Sus scrofa: one gene and its partner. The protein of the gene in region 2 binds, or shares a complex with, the protein of the main gene of each other region. Links are inferred from orthologs where the notes say so. Each region holds a gene or a part of one and is shown on either strand. Other genes may lie near its edges. The genes, in order: SMARCA2 and ARID1B.

Region 1 (3,822 bases), about 210 Mb from region 2:
GCTGCTCTGCTGAAAGGCTCCCTCTCTACAGGAGCATCTAGCAGCACCCAGGCGCCTGGGTAATTGCCCAACTTTGCAGGAACAGTGGGCCCAGTGGCAGCACGCGGGATGTGTGATATTTGTCATTTGTATTACTCTCATCAGAAACCTCGCAATATGATAATTAACAATTTTCTTCTGCATTTCACTATCTGAAAGTAATTATGGTTTATTACAGTAATCTTCTTGGGATGATTAACTCTCACTGTTTAGTACATGATGTACATGACAAAACTTTACAACCAAATACAGTTCACAGATGTGCATATGGAATGAAGAAAATAGAGTCTATTTTCTGCTTTTCCACATTTATGTATAAATACAGTATTCCAAACCTTGTAAGAAATTTTCACCACAGAAGGAGCCCATTTGTCGAATTCATATGTCCAGTTAGAGAGAGTCCTATAGAACAAAACAAACCAAAAAATAGAGAGACATTTGTATAAAAATTATTGGTTAAAAAGATGTTCTTACTTTTAGACCTCCCCTTAGAAGGAGTTAGAGAATATAAAAAAATCTCAACTACGTATTTATTTTAAAGGTGTGAAAATGAGGTACAAGTTAGAAATAAGCTGCCACAGAGCATGAGAGATTTATCTGTGGGTTCACATGAAAAAAAAATTAAAGAATGCATGAACATAGAGGATAAAAAAAATCTTAATTGTTATATTGAAAAACAGCAATTGCCAGAGTGATATGGGGACTCTAGAAACTGCCATGTAAAGTTCAGAGAAAAGTTGAGTTAAGGAAAAGAAATTATGGGAGTTTCTGTTGTGGCTCAGTGGGTTACGTTCTGTTGAGGATGTGAGTTCAGTCCCTGGGCCTCGCTCAGTGGGTTAAGGATCTGGCATTTCTGTGAGCTGTGGCTTAGATCACAGAAGCAGCTCAGATCCTGGGTTGCTGTGGCTGTGGTGTAGGCCAGCAGCTGTAATGCCAATTTGACCCCTCGGCCCTAAAAATCAAAAAAAAAAAAAGCGAAGAAAAGAAATTACAAAATTACAAAAAAAAAAAAAAAAAAAAAAAACTAAATAAATCTGCCAAGAGAGAGCAAGGGAAAAAATATTGATTGCGTTAAAAAGAAAAAAAATCCCTAAAAGCATCAACATAATAGGTAAGTCAGAACTTGCAAAATACAGATACAAAGCAAAATATATTTTCAAAATGTAGATAATATGGAAAAGATGTCTACATACCATGGATTCAAATAATATGGATTAAAGAGGTCTGCAAGTAACTCTTTAGACAAAACTGGAAGGAAATACTGCAACAGAATTTTCATTTTTTTTCTCAAGTCTGTAAAGAGCACTGAGATCTAAAAGATCTCAGTGAAGAGAATTGCAACCTCACACCCACAGCCAGACGCTCCAAGGAGGGCATTTAAACAGGTGTTCCTTTCCTCAGGTGTATCTGCTAAAGACCCAGGAGGAACCACTCACTGAGTGAGGCCCCAGGAATTTAGTGGAGAACAACAAAGACCCATCTTTATAAAGCAGCAAAATTACTGAAGGTAAACTGCACGTCCTGAGGGCAGTTTAACACAAAATTCACAGTTATAATTTTGCTTTATATGCTTTAAAAGAGACACTAAAGGGAGATTTAAGAATATATAATTTTTGAATATATGTAACCTTTTGGAAATGGAATAAAAAGAAAAATCAGAGAAATCTTATTTTTAAAAAAATCAAAATCTTCTGGCTTCATCAGCCACTTTGGGCACGAAGAGGAATGAGACTCACTGTGCAGTGTGCTGGCTATGAAGACCTCTAGGCTGAGGGCTGATAAGAATCACTTCATCAGGAGTTCCCATCATGGCTCAGTGGTTAACGAATCCAACTAGGAACCATGAGGTTGCCGGTCTGATCCTGGCCTCACTCAGTGGGTTAAGGATCCAATGTTGCCGTGAGCTGTGGTGTAGATCGCAGACGCAGCTCAGATCTGGTGTTGCTGTGGTTCTGGTGTAGGCCTGCAACTACAGCTCCGATTAGACCCCTAGCCTAGGAACCTCCATATGCTGCAGGTGTGGCCCTAGAAAAGACAAAAAAAAAAAAAAAAAAAAAAAAATCACTTCATCCTGCGCTTAAGTAGCCAGTCAAAGAGGCAGGTTTAGGGGGTGGGGTGGGCAATGAAAATTTAAATCCAGGTTACACACTCTTGGCAAACCCACTATAGGCTACAATTCTTGCCTTAAGTATAAAACACAGATAAACGACAAATATAGGGCAAGCTAGCTACAACATAAAGAAAGATAACCTCAGAATAAATGGCTTTACTTACGAAAGGGGAACAATGATGAGATAGGGGCCATTGAGTCTTTTGTGCTCCATCAGATAAGTGATGAGTGCAATGGTCTGTATGGTCTTTCCCAGCCCCATTTCATCAGCTAAGATTCCGTTCAAATTGTTATTATACAGAGAAACCATCCATTCCAGGCCCTGGAGCTGAAATGAAGAGTAATTGCTTCAATTATCCAAGATCTGCACAGGTAATTAATACTAATACAACTCAAGTGAGGCTGTGACTTCTTAACTCCTCGGTGCTGGATGGGGGAATTTCCCACCGTAGGAATGTGGGGGAAGCACTAGCACAAGAAGAAGTTCAAATATGAGTCTCTGGTGCTTGGCAGGTGCGGAGTGCTAATCAGATTTAGAAATGATGGGCTGGAGCCTACTAGCGGGATTTGAATCCGATTTGCCGTTCATCCCTACTTAGCATTTCACAGTATAGGACATTCTAGGATTATTATAGATGAAGAAAACCCAAACGAAAATCCATTCCGACCACTCTAAGAACAAAAAGCCAATGTGAGGATTAAAACAAAACAAACCAGAAGGCAGGTTTGGCACAGAGATCACAACTCATTAGAAATAGCCTTCTTGGGGAGTTCCCGTTGTGGCTCAGTGGTTAAAGAATCCGACTAGGAGCCATGAGGTTTTGGGTTCAATCCCTGACCTCACTCAGTGGGTTAAGGATCCAGGGTTGCTGTGAGCTGTGGTGTAGGTTGCAGACTCGGCTTGGATCCTGCATTGCCATGGCTGTGGCATAGGCCAGCAGCTATAGCTCTAATTAGACCCCTAGCCTGGGAACTTCCATATGCCACGGAAGCGGCCCCAGAAAAGGCAAAAAGACAAAATAAATAAATAAGTAAATAAATAAATAGCCTTCTTGGTCATAAACAGCCCCGCCCAGGGTGGGATCCTCTCAAGTGAGGAAAGAGAGTGACCAGGGAGCCAACGGCACCTGCTGGGGCCACAGATTGGCACTTCTGGGAAAAGAAAGCTCCCAGGCATGGTAGGGAAACTCTGCAATACAGGTGCATCCCAAGGGCAGCTGACTGCCTGGAAATGTGTTTAACATTTTTTTAAGTACAAAAGCACAGCACCAGGGTCACAGTGTTGGATTTCCTATGTTAAGCACAAGGAAGGTTGAGTGAAAGTACAAAAATGTTCAACTTTCCTATTCCAACCACCAGTTCCCTTGTACGACCACATCACAGATGCCAGCTTAAATAACAGGATCAATCTATTATTATTACACTCTCGAGTGCTCTCTCTCCCTCTATATATACATATATATATATTTGCCGAAGTCAATTTAGCTTGCTAATGAAGCTATGGTTAGCAAAATGTTTTCATTTTAATTTGCTTTATGTAAAAACAAAGCAAGTGATTCTTTTATTTTCAATATCTACTAAATGGCTATTCTGCGCAGAGGACCACGCAATGAGCTCCAGCAGATAGATACCTCGGTATGTTAGATGTATACCTCCCTCCAGAAGCCTGCAGT
Region 2 (3,449 bases):
TGTTTGTGGTCGACCGGTCTGACAAGCTGGGTCGTGTCCAGGAGTTCAGCAGCGGGCTTCTGCACTGGCAGCTCGGAGGCGGGGACACCACCGAGCACATCCAGACTCACTTTGAGAGCAAGATGGAAATTCCTCCTCGCAGGCGTCCGCCTCCCCCGTTAAGCTCCACAGGCAGGAAGAAAGACCAGGAAGGCAAAGCGGATTCTGAAGAGCAGCAGGAGAAAAGCATCATCGCGACCATTGATGACGTCCTGTCTGCCCGGCCAGGGGCTCTGCCCGAAGACGCGAACCCTGGTACCCAAGCCGAAAGCAGTAAGTTCCCCTTCGGAATCCATCAAGCCAAAAGTCACCGCAACATCAAGCTGCTGGAGGACGAGCCGAGGAGCCGGGACGAGGCCCCGCTCTGCACCATCGCGCACTGGCAGGACTCGCTGGCTAAGCGCTGCATCTGCGTGTCGAATATCGTCCGGAGCTTGTCCTTTGTGCCTGGGAATGACGCCGAAATGTCCAAACATCCAGGCCTGGTGCTGATCCTGGGGAAGCTGATTCTTCTTCACCACGAGCATCCCGAGAGAAAACGAGCGCCGCAGACCTACGAGAAGGAGGAAGACGAGGACAAAGGGGTGGCCTGCAGCAAAGATGAGTGGTGGTGGGACTGCCTCGAGGTCTTGAGGGATAACACGTTGGTCACTTTGGCCAACATTTCTGGGCAGCTAGACTTGTCTGCGTACACGGAAAGCATCTGCTTGCCAATTTTGGATGGCTTGCTGCACTGGATGGTGTGCCCGTCTGCGGAGGCACAGGACCCCTTTCCCACCGTGGGCCCCAACTCTGTCCTGTCGCCTCAGAGACTTGTGCTGGAGACGCTGTGTAAACTCAGCATCCAGGACAATAATGTGGACCTGATCTTGGCCACGCCTCCATTTAGTCGTCAGGAGAAATTCTATGCCACGTTAGTTAGGTACGTTGGGGATCGCAAAAACCCAGTCTGTCGAGAAATGTCCATGGCGCTTTTGTCGAACCTTGCCCAGGGGGACGCGCTGGCTGCCAGGGCGATAGCTGTGCAAAAGGGGAGCATTGGCAACTTGATAAGCTTCCTAGAGGATGGGGTCACCATGGCCCAGTATCAGCAGAGCCAGCATAACCTCATGCACATGCAGCCCCCGCCTCTAGAGCCCCCTAGCGTGGACATGATGTGCAGGGCGGCCAAGGCTCTGCTGGCCATGGCCAGAGTGGACGAGAACCGCTCAGAATTCCTTCTGCACGAGGGTCGATTGCTGGATATCTCGATATCAGCTGTCCTGAACTCTCTGGTTGCGTCTGTCATCTGTGATGTACTGTTTCAGATTGGGCAGTTATGACACCAGTGAGAAGGCAGCATGTGTGAGTGAAGACTAGAGGCTCCCGTATAACTGGCTGTTTTCTGTTCTTGTTTATCCAGCGTAGGAAGAAGGAAAGAAAATCTCTGCTCCTCTGCCCCATTCACTATTTACCAATTGGGAATTAAAGAGATAATTAATTCGAACAGTTATGAAATTAATATTCGCTGTCTGTGTGCATAAGTACATCCTTTTGGGTTTTTTTCTTTCTTTTTTTTTTTTTTTTTAACCAAAGTTGCTGTCTAGTGCATTCAAAGGTCACTTTTTGTTTTTCACAGATTTTCTTTTTAATGTTCTTTTCCATGTTGTATTGCATTTGGGGGGAAGCGAATTGACTTTCAGGAGAAAAGTCATGGCAAAAGATGCTAAGATGGGAAAATTTCACCACTCTGAGGCAAAAAAAAAAAAAAAAAGTGAAAAATGATCAATTTCCTGGCTGTGTTCTTCTTCAGATAATGCAAACTGTATCCCATCGCCCAAAGTTCTGTGCAATAGAAACTTCTAGAGATGTAGGTATAGGGGCTCACGGAGGTGTGTCAGTCAGCAGTCAAACTATGAAATGATACTGGTTTCTCCACAGGAAAAATGGTTCCATTAGGCTAGGAGCAAAAACAATGTTTTTTAAGCTAAGATTGAAAACACATACCTGACAACGATCAAGGGAAATTGCTTCCTCACCACTATCGTCACGTCTGCTGTCTGTCGTTGACCTTCCGCGTGACAGTTCTTCACAATTCCTTTAATCATTTTTTAAATATTTTTTTTTTTTACTGCCTAATGGGCTGTGATGTATATAGAAGTTGTACATTAAACATACCCTCATTTTTTTCTTTTCTTTTTCTTTTTCTTTTTTTTTTTTTTTTTTTTTTAGTACAAAGTTTTTAGTTTCTTTTTCATGATGTGGTAACTACGAAGTGATGGTAGATTTAAATAATTTTTTATTTTTATTTTATATATTTTTTCATTAGGGCCATATCTCAAAAAAAAAAGAAAAAATACAAAAAACAAAAACAAATAAAAAAACAAAAAAAAAAAGAGGGTAATGTACAAGTTTCTGTATGTATAAAGTCGTGCTCTATTTCGGGAGAGCAGCTGATTACAATTTGCTTCATGAATCAAGGTGTGGAAATGGTTGCATATGGATTGATTTAGATAATGGTTACCCGTACAGACAAAAAGAAAAAACATACAACTAAAAGGAAGAAACACAACTTCAAAGATTTTTCAGTGACGAGATTCCACATTTGTATTTCAAGATAATGTAGTTTAAAAAAAAAAAAGAAAAAAAAAAACTTGATGTAAATTCCTCCTTTTCCTCTGGCTTAATGAATATCATTTATTCAGTATAAAATCTTTATATGTTCCACATGTTAAGAATAAATGTACATTAAATCTTGTTAAGCACTGTGATGGGTGTTCTTGAATACTGTTCTGGTTTCCTTCCAGTGGTTGCATAGTAACCAGAAATAGGGAAATACAGCCGCGTACTAACGTAGCCCCTCACTACGGAACCCTGAGACCAGGAGGGACGTTTAGGGGTTACCTGCTTTATAGAGTGGGGAGCAACAGTTTGATTTTTCTCCAAGTACTGAGCTAATTAGTCTTTGTCGGAAGCAATCAACTCTAACATCAAGGAGGTCTGAGAATTTTCAGTGTGTGCGGGAGGCGGCTGCCAGCCGTGGGGTGAGAGCCTAAGGGCTCGCCGGCCTGACCGTGTAACCTCCTGCCTTTTTCTAACCCCGTCTTACTTGCCGTCAGAGATGAGTCTGGTCCATGTTTTTCCTGTGTGCCTCAAAGTTCTTTCGCTTTTAGTTTCCTCCACCGTGTATGATATTTATATTGTGCAATGTTAAAGAGACTCTGTTATATTGTATGTGGTGTACATAGTGCAAAGTGATTATTTCTATTTCAGGGCATATTAATATTCTCATATCCCTTCCTACCTGGTGCACAGTAGCTTTTTAATACCAGTCACGTCTCATTTCAACTTTTTTCTTCCTGGGTCATTGACTGTTAATGTATAACAATCAGTTTCTTTGAAACTGCTGCAGAGTTGAGCTGTCAGTGGAC

Evidence for each region.
Region 1: ARID1B (region 2) and SMARCA2 share a complex: the UniProt entries of both Homo sapiens proteins name them as parts of the neuron-specific chromatin remodeling complex. The link is inferred for Sus scrofa from reciprocal best matches to the Homo sapiens genes ARID1B and SMARCA2.

What each region holds. Positions count from the first base shown.
Region 1 is NC_010443.5:219,745,912-219,749,733, forward strand, and holds part of SMARCA2 (probable global transcription activator SNF2L2), read right to left. Parts: intron 2,478-3,822; coding exon 2,314-2,477; intron 442-2,313; coding exon 375-441; intron 1-374. UniProt on the Homo sapiens protein: ATPase involved in transcriptional activation and repression of select genes by chromatin remodeling (alteration of DNA-nucleosome topology).
Region 2 is NC_010443.5:9,790,958-9,794,406, reverse strand, and holds the end of ARID1B (AT-rich interactive domain-containing protein 1B), read left to right. Parts: coding exon 1-1,361; 3' UTR 1,362-2,780; downstream 2,781-3,449. UniProt on the Homo sapiens protein: Involved in transcriptional activation and repression of select genes by chromatin remodeling (alteration of DNA-nucleosome topology).